Linked DNA regions of Callithrix jacchus. The protein of the gene in region 1 purifies or fractionates together with the protein of each later gene. This does not show direct contact. Links are inferred from orthologs where the notes say so. Each region holds a gene or a part of one and is shown in the gene's direction. Other genes may lie near its edges.

The links. The genes of interacting proteins can lie anywhere in the genome.
Region 2: the proteins of BET1 (region 1) and NAPA purify together in Homo sapiens (affinity purification with mass spectrometry; 5 studies listed by BioGRID and IntAct, with this or other methods). This does not show direct contact. The link is inferred for Callithrix jacchus from reciprocal best matches to the Homo sapiens genes BET1 and NAPA.
Region 3: the proteins of BET1 (region 1) and GOSR2 purify together in Homo sapiens (affinity purification with mass spectrometry; 3 studies listed by BioGRID and IntAct, with this or other methods). This does not show direct contact. The link is inferred for Callithrix jacchus from reciprocal best matches to the Homo sapiens genes BET1 and GOSR2.

The regions. Positions count from the first base shown.
Region 1 is NC_133512.1:55,613,287-55,617,582, forward strand, and holds the start of BET1 (BET1 homolog), read left to right. Parts: upstream 1-1,475; 5' UTR 1,476-1,484; coding exon 1,485-1,581; exon of another isoform or gene 1,582-1,669; coding exon of another isoform or gene 1,670-1,688; intron 1,689-4,296. UniProt on the Homo sapiens protein: Required for vesicular transport from the ER to the Golgi complex. Functions as a SNARE involved in the docking process of ER-derived vesicles with the cis-Golgi membrane.
Region 2 is NC_133523.1:41,452,731-41,456,809, reverse strand, and holds the start of NAPA (alpha-soluble NSF attachment protein), read left to right. Parts: upstream 1-1,234; 5' UTR 1,235-1,385; coding exon 1,386-1,483; intron 1,484-3,768; exon of another isoform or gene 3,769-3,884; intron 3,885-4,079. UniProt on the Homo sapiens protein: Required for vesicular transport between the endoplasmic reticulum and the Golgi apparatus. Together with GNA12 promotes CDH5 localization to plasma membrane.
Region 3 is NC_133506.1:86,055,924-86,060,207, reverse strand, and holds the start of GOSR2 (Golgi SNAP receptor complex member 2), read left to right. Parts: upstream 1-1,439; 5' UTR 1,440-1,774; coding exon 1,775-1,931; exon of another isoform or gene 1,932-2,179; intron 2,180-4,284. UniProt on the Homo sapiens protein: Involved in transport of proteins from the cis/medial-Golgi to the trans-Golgi network.

The DNA.
Region 1 (4,296 bases):
TCAATATGAACTAGCTTTGCCTTACTTCAGTTATATTCTTAGTACATTACATATATTTTTTCCTTTTAACTACATTTCATTCTTATGTCTTCCTACCATGTAAAGGAAGAATATATTTTAGGTAATTCAAATGATTAGTTTTGGTAAATATTAACTGATTTTCAAAAATGACAATTTCTACATTTTCTATCAGCAAGCCTTCATTAGGACAATTTTTAAACATGTTTCATTATAAAACATGCATTTTTTAATCAAACAAAGGACATAGATTAAAAGTTGTAATGGGATATCTAGCTATCATCTATTACTGAATCTCCATCTTTTATTTGTAATTGTCCCTGATTTTATCCTCATTTAATTCCATTGCTTTTAGAAAATGGCGTTTTAATTTTAACGAAGATTTTTTTTCCTATGGAAACCTTATTGAATAAGTCTTCCTTCTCAGGTTAATAACTCTCATTAAAAGTAGTTTTCATGTGTTTTATACAAAAACAACTTAATGCAGAGACTTGTGCCACTATTATGGTCAAGGTTAATAATGTCTTGGGAAACTATGAGAAAATACTAAATGATCAGAGATCACGTATTTGTGGAGTGGAGACGATTCCACTACCATACATATGGCAGCAACAACAAAACTGGAGATACCCAGTGGATTTTGATTACCTACTGTGTATCAGATTTTTCTTTCTCCGAAAACCATGATTACCGTATTCTCATGATAAATAATCCGGTGAGACAAAATGAAATTCTAGGATTAACCCTGATACCAGCAACATCTTCACTCGCCAACAAGCTTTTAAACCCCCAAACTGGCTCAATGCCTTGTGTAAGCAGTATTTCAATAACATTTGCGTAAGTTAAAAAAAAAAAAAAGTTAAGTGGGAGGGAATTTAGGGGTCCTTTGTTCCCTATAACAACTAAAAGTCTTGGTTCCTCAAATACAACAGATGCAGTAACAGTAACGGAACTATTCAGTGTCTCCTATGAGACCCCACGCTTTTCCTGGGCTGCTCCCATCTGAGCAGGAGTCTTACTCCAAGGAACCTGGTTTTCTCTCCTTTACTGGATACATGAGGTACAAAATCTGTTACTTCTGTGGATGTTGGATTACTTGTTTGTAAACTGAGAAACGTGGACAAAGTCTTCTCTAACTTTCCCTGCACTACCTCTGGAGGTAAGAGAGAGTACAAGGCTCAATCAGGAAAGTTATCCCAATCAACCTCTTGTGGGCCCGGAGGAGGAGATCTGTTAAGTTAAACTTGGTGGTCAATAAACTGAAAGCAGCGACCCGGAGGGCCGCGAGACAAGCAGCGGGGATGTTGGATAAGAAACCCAGAGTTAGAGCCGCAGCCGAAGCCGCCCCCTTTTCCGGAGCCCCGTCCGCTCCTGGAACCGGGTTCACACCACGCCACCTGCGACACGTTCTGCGTCAGTGAACTACATTTCCCAGAATGCCATTCAGGCTTCTTCCCAGGGCTCCAATGAGCGCCCTAGTGACGCCATCAGTCGGCTCGGTGTTTAGAATCTACAGCTGTCGTGGCGCTTTGCTGGAAGAAGTTGGTGTTCCGCGGGGCCCTGGTACTGAAGACGCGGTTCGGGTCACCCCTAGCTCTTTCCTACCCACCTAACCCCCCGCGCCCGCCTTTTTCCTCTCTCCTCTGGCAGGATGAGGCGCGCAGGCCTGGGTAAGAAGAGGGCCGAGGTTCGAAGTTCGGGGCCCTAGAACCGGCCATGCTGGGCGCGGGAGCGCGGGGGCGCGGGAGCAAATCGGAGCTATCTTTTGTTCTTGGCATTTGGTCCAAAAAGCAGGATCTTTAGAGGGTATCTTTTGGGCCTTGTCGAGTGGAAACACACCATTTGTCCCAGATCCTAGGAGTTTCCTTAAGTTTGAGTCAGATTCAAGTTTGGATGGTAGGCTAGAGAAAGCATTGGACTGGGGTGGGTGTGTACAGGTGACATCTCAGTGGTCGAGTGTTTTAGTGTTATTGACTGAGCTTGGTTATGGACACTGGTGTGTTTTACAAAGCCCGACTTCGGTTTCTGTTTCTCTACTGGCCCTGGATCTTTGTTTCTTCAGAAGCGGAATTTGAAGAGTGGGTAGTTGCACGCAAAGCACACTGATAATGGTCGTTAATCTGGTAACAGTGAGTTACAAAGGTAAATGTACGTGTCATTACTGTTAAAGGTCCTGGAACTGTAACATCTGGGTGAAAGGCGATTTCTTATCTGAACCTTGTGCCATGATTAAGGCAGTAGAATGTAGTAAGGTTTGGTATCTTAACATTTGATCTTGACCTTGGGGTTTAGGAAGCTGGCTCACCAGCAAGAATAAGTTAGGCACAAGGAATTTTAATGGTCCTCTATAGTAACATACAGCTATTAGAGCAGCGTTTTCTGGTTCTGAAGCTTTCTCTTAGGACAGTATTTTTTTTTCTAATAAGACTGCTACATTAGAGTGCTGTATACTTCAGAAAATAAATGAAACATTTGCAAAAAGATAATGTTATCTATCTCAGTCATTATAAGATTTAAAAAAAAAAAATTCCAAAAAGTGTCAGATATTTAAAGTCAATGAAAGTTGCCAATAACTATAGACTTGTTATCGATTAATAAATTGTAGTATGAGAAAGTTTTTTTTAATGAAGTTTTTATGACTACTTGGATCATAGAAAGAATGTAGGGCCAGGTACATTGAAGAGAAAAAAAAATAATTTTCAGCAAGTTTAGTTTTATATACCTAAATGTTTTTCTTGTTCATCATCATTAATGATAAAAAAGGATTTATTGTGTGCCTGAGTAAGCTCTAGGTTTACAGTTGTTTGCTGCCCTCTTTGTGCTCCCCAAAGCTTCCAGTCTAGGTGTGGAGTAGGAATATGTGCAAAGATAACTTATAGTACAAAGTAGTTGCTATATATCCAAATACCAGATAAGTTCTGCATATAAGTGATGGTCTCAGAGGCTTCAGATATAGATCACTGTATACTTTGTGGAGAAGATCCTTGTGTATCTTGTGGAGACTTAGGAATTTGAAGTAGACCTTGAATAATGGAGAGTGGGGGAAGTGAGTTCCAAATGGGAACTCAAAAAAGTAAGGGATTATGACTAAGCCAGTTTGGTTGAAGTAGGGGATGAAGGATCACACTGTGGAGATCTTTGCATGTGAGGCTGAAGAGTGGATTTCATGGCCAAAGAGTTTGGATTTCATCAGTAGGCCTCTAGGCCCTTTGGAGTATTTTTCTGTTGTAGTATGCCATGTTAAATTGCAGGAAAATGACTTGAGAAATGGTTCTCAGCCCCGGGAAGTTTTAAACTTATTGTTACCTGGACCTCAGCTCAGCCAGTTAAATTAGAATCTCACTAATTTAGAGCCCACTACCCCATACTCCTTTTTTTTTTTAAAGCGCTCTCCTGTGATTGAGAGGAGAGGTGATTACTTAGGTAACTGCTATTGCTATAATTTATATTGATGTGAAGTGACAAAGGCTTTTTTTACACATTTTTTTCTTTTCTTTTCCCTCCCTCCCTCCCTCCCTCCCTCTCTTCCTCCCTCCCTCCCTTCCTTCTTTTCTATCTTTTTTTTCTTTTCTTTCTTCTTTTTGAGACAGAGTCTCCCTCTGTTGCCCAGGCTGGAGTGCAGTGTTGCAATCGCAGCTCACTGCAGTCTCCACCTCCCAGGTTCAAGCAATTCTCCTGCCTCAGCCTCTCAAGTACTTGGGATTACAGGTGTGCACGACCACACCTGATTAATTTTTGTATTTTTTAGTAGACGGGGTTTCGCCATGTTGGTCAGGCTGGTCTCGAACTCCTGACCTCAGGTGATCCACCCACATTGGCCTCCCAAAGTGCTGGGTTTACAGACATGAGCCACTGCGCCTGCACTTCTTTTCATGTTTTTAAGTATCAATGTATATTGATCTGAAATTTTAAATTTGGGATTGTAGTGAATCTGATAGATATTCATAGGCAGAAGCTGTCACATTCATATGTGTCTCTAAATGGTTCTGTTAGCTTACTGATAGAACCTATCCAAAAGAAGAATCATTTTTCTAAACTAACAAAGGCTGTGTATGATCTTCAGTACCCGCTAGCTTTTTTACACCTTTCATAGCAGTATACCGCCAGAAGAGAAGTGGCTCTGTTCAGAATAGCAATTCTAGCATTTTATTTGTTTTTGTTTTTTTGTCCATTGTATTTGGGGTGGCTCATAATTTGAGAGAACATCAACTCTTTAATAGGAGAAATGTGCATTAACATATTTTTGTACAATAAACAAGAATTTCACTTTGAATAAAT
Region 2 (4,079 bases), on another chromosome or scaffold:
CACCAACAGTTTGGAGGAGTACTATGCAGATATTTTGGAGGATGTGGCTCAACTGGAATTTGTCTAGAGTGTTTTTTTTATGCTTAGATTGGAAGGTCCCGGAAGTAAAAACCCTTCTTTGTTTTTGTTTTGTGAGGCAGAGTCTCACTCTGTCTCCCAAGCTGGAGTGCAGTGGCACGATCTCGGTTCACTGCAACGTTTGCCTCCCGGGTTGAAACGACTCTCCTGCGTCAGCCTCCTGAGCACCACGCCCAGCTAATTTTTTGTATTTTTAGTAGAGATGGGGTTTCACCGTGATTAGCCAGGATAGTCTCGATTTCCTAACCTCGTGATCCACCCACCTTGGACTCCCAAAATGCTGGGATTATAGGCCTGAGCCCCCGCGCCTGGCCTATTTATTTATTTTTTGGGACGAAGTCTCACTCTGTCGTCCAGGTTAGAGCGCAGTGGCGCGATCTCGGCTCACTGCAACCTCTGCCTCCACAGTTCAAGTGATTCTCCTGCCTCAGCCTCCCGAGTAGCCAGGATTACAGGCGTGCACCACCATGCTGGGCTCCTATTTGTATTTTAGTAGAGACAGGGCTTTGACATGTTGGCCTGGCTGAAGTGATCCGCCCGCCTCGGCCTCCCAAAGTGCTGGGATTACAGGCGTGACCCACCGCGCCCGGCCCTCTTCAGCTACTTTTTCTGAAGCCAGAGAGTTAAAGGATCTCTAAAGTTTTTGTTTCCCGTCTCTGAACTACTTCACTGGTCTCCCCGAAGCAGTTCCAGTATTGGCCGGGAGAGGGAGCAAAAAAAAAAAGTAGTCCTGTTTCCTTTTCCTCCAAACGGCTTTCCCAGTGAAGAAACCCGCGAAACTAACCGAGGGGGCGGGACTAAGCTCTGCGCAGAGCCGTCAAATCCGGGCGTGGACCCCGAGCTGTCACGTGAGTGTCCGCGGTCAGCTGACTGCGCCGGACTTCCGCGGCGGGGGGCGCACAACGCGAGTCGAGGGCTTCTGCTGATTGGTGAAGGAGGATTCAGCTTCAGCACCGTGGGGCGGGGCCTCGGCGGTGCGAACTGCCATTGCCTTCCGCCGTTGCCTTCCGCAGGGGCACCGTTCGCGGGTGTGTGCGCATGCGTTGAGGTCTCGGGACGCCAATTGGGGGGTCTTGAGTCACTGGCGGCGTGCGGCAGGTTGGGGCGTGGTCGCCGGAGCGGGCGCCGCGCTACGAGGCCGCTGGTTGGCCAGCGCGAGTCACGTGGTTCCGGGCTGCAGCAGCGCGCACCGGTGCGACGTCAACGCAGCAGGTCGAGCTTTCCCGACCTGTTTTCCGCGGCCCGGCCGCGGCTGAGTCCTCCCAGGGTCGGGGTTGAGCGCCTTGTTGAGTCTCTTTGTAGTCGCCATGGACAATTCCGGGAAGGAAGCGGAGGCGATGGCGCTGTTGGCCGAGGCGGAGCGCAAAGTGAAGAACTCGCAGTCCTTCTTCTCCGGCCTCTTTGGGTGAGAACCGGGCTCAGGGGTCGGCCGGGACCTAGGGTGAGAGGACGAAGGAGTCACGGCCGGAGGCGGCGGGTTAGGCACGCAGGGCTCGGGCCGAGGGGACGGAGAGGAACCTGGAATGAGGTGATATGGTCTGAGGCGGCAGAGGGGACACAGACTGAGGGCCAAGGGCTCGGGCCGGGGCAACACGGTTTGAAGAGAGACGGTCTGACATGGCGGAAGGGACATGGGCTGAGGACACACGGGCCAAGGCGACACTGTCTTGAGGCGAGAAAGGGGACTCAGGCCAAAGACAGGCCAGGGGGCCGAGGGAGAACCTGGACCGAGGGAATACGTCCTGAAGCTTTGGAGGGGACTGGCCTGGGGGGGACGGAGGGAATCCGGGAGAGTAGGCAGGTCGGAGGCCTTTCGGAGCTCTAGGGGCATCTGTCTGAAGGCTCTCAGGCGGCGTGATGGGTCCTGGGACTGAGGACGCCCTGCCCGAGGGACTGACCTTTCCAGTCCCCCAGGGCAGTGGATTTGTGGGGGGTCCTGGGCAGTAAGGGTGATGGCTGAAGGAGGCTGACACCAGACGGAGGGTCTCGGGAATTTGGTGATCCTAGGAGTGGTGAAACACATCTGAAGTGTGTGTTGGGGGGTGCCTAGGTTGAGTCCGGCCCTGGTTAGCAGTGACTAAAGACAGCTGAACCAGGGAACCCGCATGATGGAGCCAAGAGTGAGGAGGTCCCAATACTTTGGGAAGCCGAGGTGGGCAAATCACTGAGGTCAGGAGTTGGAGACCAGCCTGACCAACGTAGTGAAAACCCTTCTCTGCTAAAAATACAAAAACTAGCTGGGCCTGGTGGCTGGTGCCTGTTATCCCAGCTACTCGGGAGGCTGATGCAGGAGAATCACTTGAACCCAGACGGCAGAGGTTGCAGTGAACCGACATCACACCGTTGCACTCCAGCCTGCGTGACAGTACGAGACTGACTCCATGTCAAAGAAAAACAAAAAGACTGAGGAGGCCTGGGTTGAGGCTAAAGACTCCTGGGTGGGGGAACACATGGTGGTGGCTTGGCCAAGGAGATGGAGGGGTAACAGGGCGAGACAGAGGGACAGAAAGAACCAAAACGGGGGATCAGAGGCCTGCTGTGTGATCCTCAAGTAATGGTGATGATGATGACAGGGACATGGTGAGAAGACGGATGGGAAGAGGCTTGGGAGACAGAACTAATGCATATGGCATGGCATAAAACTCGCATTCGCTCCTAAAAGCGACACAGCCATCCTCTGAGAAATTCTAGTGGCTTAGGAGTGTCAAGAGGCCAGGTTTGAAATGTGGCTCTGCCACTTCATGACCTTGGGTAAATTGTTCAGTCTCCCCATTAAAGGAGACCTCGAACCAAACCTACCTGCGATTTGCTGTATTAGGATTGAGCCTGGCATGGAGTTAACGTCTCTGAACATGTTAGCTGTTGTTAATGTGACTTTCCAGAAGGAACAGATTTGGAGCGTGCAGAGGGATGAGGGGTTCAAAGTTAGTGTGAGCGGAGAGGTCTGGGAGGGGTCAGAAGAGGGAGAGATGGAGAAGCATGAGTTTGCTAAGAGGAGCTGAAATAAAACACAAGAGGGACCCAGGAGGACTTAATAGGGTGGAGAGGCACATGAGACTCTGGGCAGAGGAAGTAGAAGGGAGCTGGGGAGGGTTTGGCAGGGGGTGGGAGGTGGGGAGTGAGATCTGCGCTGATGGGGGGTCCTGAAAGGATCAAGGGGAGGCTGTGGGAACAGAGAGGAGGCTTGGGAAAGGACTAGTGGGCTTGTAGAGAGGATGATGTGTGGTAGCCACTCAGAAGCAGAGCCTGGGGAAGGTGGTAGGACTGGGAGCGTCTGCAGAAGGCTGGAGAAGGGGGTTGGGGGGAGGGCCTGGGGATCGGAGGAGACCATGGTAGGAAGCTGGCAGAGGCTGGTAAGACACGAAGTGGAGGGATCTTTCCAAGAGAGGAAAGAACGGGAAAAGGCTCTGGGCCTCGCCCCTTGTTTGAGGTTGGATAATGTTTAGCAAAAGAACTTGAAGAACATGACCGGGAATTGCCTGGTGTGGGGAAACATCCGGGGCTGATGGACCATATTGATTAGGTGAAAAATGTTTTCTTTTAGAGGCTGAGAGGAGGGAGAGGGGGTATGTGTGTGTTTTCTTCATAAGGGGAGAAGTTCAAGTGCTGTGTTTGGGGGTGGGACCACGAGCTGGGTTTTTGGTGATGGTTTTCCTGGGTGGCTCTGAGTGTCTGTTCCCTTTGGCCCAGGGATTGGTGGGTACTGGACCGTGTGCTTGGAGGGAGCAGCTAAGTCAGCCCCAGGGCACTTGCTACCTGGTTGGGAAGGCAAGATGAACACCAAACACTAGTAAAGCAGAATTACGGTAAGGAAGGCCTCGATTATGTCATCCGTGTGAATGGCTGAGCTGAGAGGAAGCAGCGGGAGCTGCATGGAGGCTTCTGGTGAGGAGTGAGCTAGGCCCCAGGGAACGCCCAGGACTTGCTAAGGGAGTGGGGCCGGGGAGGGTGCTCTAGGCAGCAGGGATGGTGCTGCCGAGGTCTAGCGTGAGGAGACGTTC
Region 3 (4,284 bases), on another chromosome or scaffold:
TGAGGCAGGAGAATCTCTTGAACCCAGGAGGCGGAGATTGTAGTGAACCAAGATTGCGCCATTGCACTCCAGCCTGGGCAGCTGAGAGAGACTCCATCTCAAAACAAAAAAGAGATTTCCTATGATCTGGCTGTAACCTTTCTTCGAATACTATTATTGCCCAAGTACCCTGAATCCAGCCAGAGGAGATTCATGTTCTTTCCTTTTGTTTGCCTTTGCTCAAGCTAGTCCCTCAGCCTCAAATGCCCTCCTCATTTCTGCATACAATAAATATTTTCAGAGTGGTTAGTATATGCAAGACACTGTTAAGATGCTGCTGATTCTTGAAGGTCCTATTAGTAAGCTATTTTGTCCATGATCCCTTTTTGATCCTCCCCAGGGAAATAGTACTTTGTATCAATTGTAGCATGTATTCTACTTAATAATGTAGCTTGAAGTTAGATTAGTCCTCCCAACAGACCATGAGAGATATAGGAGATTTGAGGGCTGTGTCTTGCTTTTGTTTCTGTCACCCATATCTGTGCATGGTACATGGTAGATGCTCAATGACAGAATAAGTGAAAACATGATTTTAGGAAAAGAATGTACATGGGCGGACAGTCTCTTGGGACACAAAACTGGGTGGGATTCAGGATCCAGGAAAACAGAAGTATCAACTTGTTGAAGAAAAGAACGTCTCCTCGTTTGCGAGGAATAGCAGATAAGCTTGGGAGGATGGAAATGGGATAGCCTATGTGGAGATGCAGAAGTGTCCAAATCCCAGCCCCGGCTCAAATGCCACCCCTTCACTAAGTCTTTCCTAAATCTCCTCCTAGAGACCAGCTCAGCTCAATTTCTTTGGAATGTTTGGAATCTCCTGTAGAATGTTTATCTTGATATATAAAATTTATAGAAAGCCATTGGTTTGGAATGAACTCATGCACTAGGCCCAATAGACCAAACCAAAATAGTCACTCCTGCTGAAGTTCGAAGCCACAAAATTAAGCTGTTCATCTGACCTTTGGAGAAATCAGAAGAGAGGGAAAATAGCCATATCCCCATGATAAAGGAAGTCCCTTCTGCTTTAACCAATACAAGTAAAATAACTTTGAAACTTGTTCTTTGTTTCTGCTTTTTTCAGCCCTTTTCTGTCTATAAAAAAAAATCTCCTTTAGTCAGCTCGTCAGAATACTCATTCTATTTTACAGAATAAGGTGTTGCCCGGTGCTAGGATCGCAATAGCTAGTTAAGATCTATAACTACATTTCTTGTAATTTTGTCTTTTTATAGTATATATATCTTATTTCCTTTTCCAGACCAGAACCTCTCTGAGGGCAGGAGGAAACCGGTTTTCCCCACTTTACACACGACACAAAATAATCACTCATTCAATGTGGGTTTATTGGATGGATAAACAGGAACGGGGGGTAGAGGAGGCGGGAGAGTGAGTGGACAAATGCGAGACAGGAAAAGCATGCGCCAAGGAATCCAGTGGAGAGCGAAATCTTCAGAGCCAGGATTAAATAGTTTAAAGCGAAGCCAAGCAAGAACCTCCCGTCCCTCTAGGGCAGGGAAGACCAGGTGTCCCTACTCGCCTGCAACTTTGCTCTGAGGACTTCTAGTCAGTATCCCGCGACTGTCTTTCCTAATGCCTGACCGAATACTGAGGCTAGCCGTCAGCGAACACCTACACCTCCTTGGTCTTCACGTGAAACCGAGCCTGTGACCACACTTATCCTTCCATCGCCGGCCTCATTTCTCCTTCCTCTTCTCCGATCTCGCAACCACTGTTAGTATGGCGCGCGTGCGGGCAGCCCTGGCCGGCTGGGGAGGGAGGGTCCTGAGACCGGAAGCCGGAAGTGGGGCTGTGAGGACGTGTTCGAGGAAGCCAGAGCCGCATCCGTGGCCTGCGGGGCCGGCGACATGGATACCCTGTACCAGCAAACGCACAAGTGAGGGCCGCGTCGGGGAGCGGGCGGGGGCTAGGCGAGGCTAGGCCAGGTGAGGCCTGCTTCTGGAGCTGGGGCCTCGGACGTCCGCTGGGGCAGAAGAGGCCGAGTTTTTCTGCCAGGGCACTGCTGGGGATGCCTCCGAAGTACTTAATCCCTGGCGGGACGCCCAGATCAGCCGGTCCAGCCTGGGGCCTGGAGACGTGGGGCAGATGGCTTCTGGGGTCTGCAAGCCCGTGACTACCTACTGGGTAAACTGGGTGAGGGGAAAGTGGCACCTGCAGGTTATAAAACTTTGTCCGGCGCCTAGTCGGTGCTCCGGATTGGTAGAGCTCGAGAGGAGACATGGAGTAGGAGACACGGCCCCTGCCCGTAGGAGTGTACTGCTTAATTTGGAGAGTCAAGGCACGTACGGGAAAATATTTGTATTTTTACTTGATTTATACTAAAGACCACATTTTTATGGTACAAAGAAATTGCCGTCCACATAGCATTCACTATTACTTACTTGTTAATCATATCTGGTTACAGGTTATCGCTAAGGAAATCGAATTTTAGTTTAGCTTTTCACAACTTAAATAAATTCCTTGGTAGTGTCCTTTATTCGCATCGTCCTGCACTTTTGGAACTTGCTGAGATACGTAGTTGAGTATGGTAATGGGGCCATACTTACTCTATTTTGGGGGGACAGAATGTTATGATTTTTTTTTATTGTAAAATATACACAACATAAGATTTACTATTTTAACAATCTTTAAGTGTACAATTCAGTGACATTAAGTACATTCACAACTTATATCACTACGATCCATTTTCAGAAATTTTTCATCATTCCAAACTGTGGTTATTAATCAGGCACTTCATTTCTTCCTTCCAGAGCACCTAGTAACCTCTGTTCTACTTCTCTCTGTGAATTTACCTATTCTAGATACTTTATGTAAGTGGAGTCGTACAGAATTTCTCCTTTTGTATCTAGCTTATTTCACTTAATGTTTTCTGAGTTCATCTATCTTGTAGCCTGTTATCAGAATTTCATTCCATTTTATGACTGAATAGTTGTTGTATGTATCTACCACATTTTATTATCCATTCATCTGTTGATGGGCTATTGAGAATAATAACTGCTGTGAACGCTCATGTACAAGTTTTAGTTCCTCTTCTCAATTTTTTGAGGTATATACCTATCCTGTTAAGAATCCTATTAAGAACTTTCAAACTTATGCTGTAGTTTTGTTGATTAAAACACTTAAAATGACACTCCCAAGGCCTGGAAATGAAAGGCCCTGACCATTAGGAATAAGAGGATGATGATCGTCTTACGCTTTCATTTTCTAAGTTTATGGGTTTCTTTTATTTTGGCGATGAAGAGTTTCATTTGGGTGGCGAAAATACAGAACCTACTTTGTAATGACAATTTTCTTTTACACTGGGGAGCCCTATTCTCACATAAACATTATAGGAAGGGACTTAAACTAGCCTCTGAGTCATTTAGAAAAAGCATGAAGCAAAACTGTGTTCATGTTACTGAGAAAGGGCAGATCTTTTATAGTAGCAGGGCACAATGCGCATAGTAGTGCCTTGAAGTTAATCTGTTATGTATGGTCTTATCTAGTTAATTTAGCTAAAGGATGTTGCCAAGAAGGCCATGACCCATTTTATAGTCAAGAATAATTTTGTTTAGAGAGTCTTAGACTGTTACCTGTTTTCAGTGCAGATAATCACAGAGAAATCTTCGTAGCTTGGAAGAGGAATACTAAATGGTGCCCCAAACAAGGTGTGCGGAGTGTAGATAAACTCTGTAGGCCTCTAGCTCCAGCAACGCACCCTTGGACTCTAGCAGTTTGCCAGTTTTTTCTGTTAAGGATCAGTTTTAAGATAGTAAATATTTTAGGCTTTGTTGTCTATACAGTCTCGGTAGTGACTGCTCTGCTGTTTTATCGGGAAAACAGCCATACATAATATGTAAACTAATTGAGTACCTGTGTTCCAGTACAATTTATCAAAACAAGCTGCAGTGTAGCTTTCTTCATAATTATCAGGCTCTCTATTACCCTGACACTCATTCATTCAATGAATATTTATTGAGCACCTGCTATGTGCTATGTACTGTTCTCAGTGCTGGCAGCACAGCCGTGCCCTCGAGGAGTTTACCTTGTTTCATGCTGCAGTATCTTCTTTTTTCTCAAGTGCTGCGCTAGGAGTGGGAGTTCTGGTTCTAGACATCCTTGTTTTTCCTCATCCTTAGAGTGCTGTTATAGTGTGGGCTGGTTAAACTGTAACGCTCCTTTCAGTTCCATGATACAGAACTGGTGACTGAATTACTTTCACAGGAAACACGTGGAGTCTGGAGAGCACC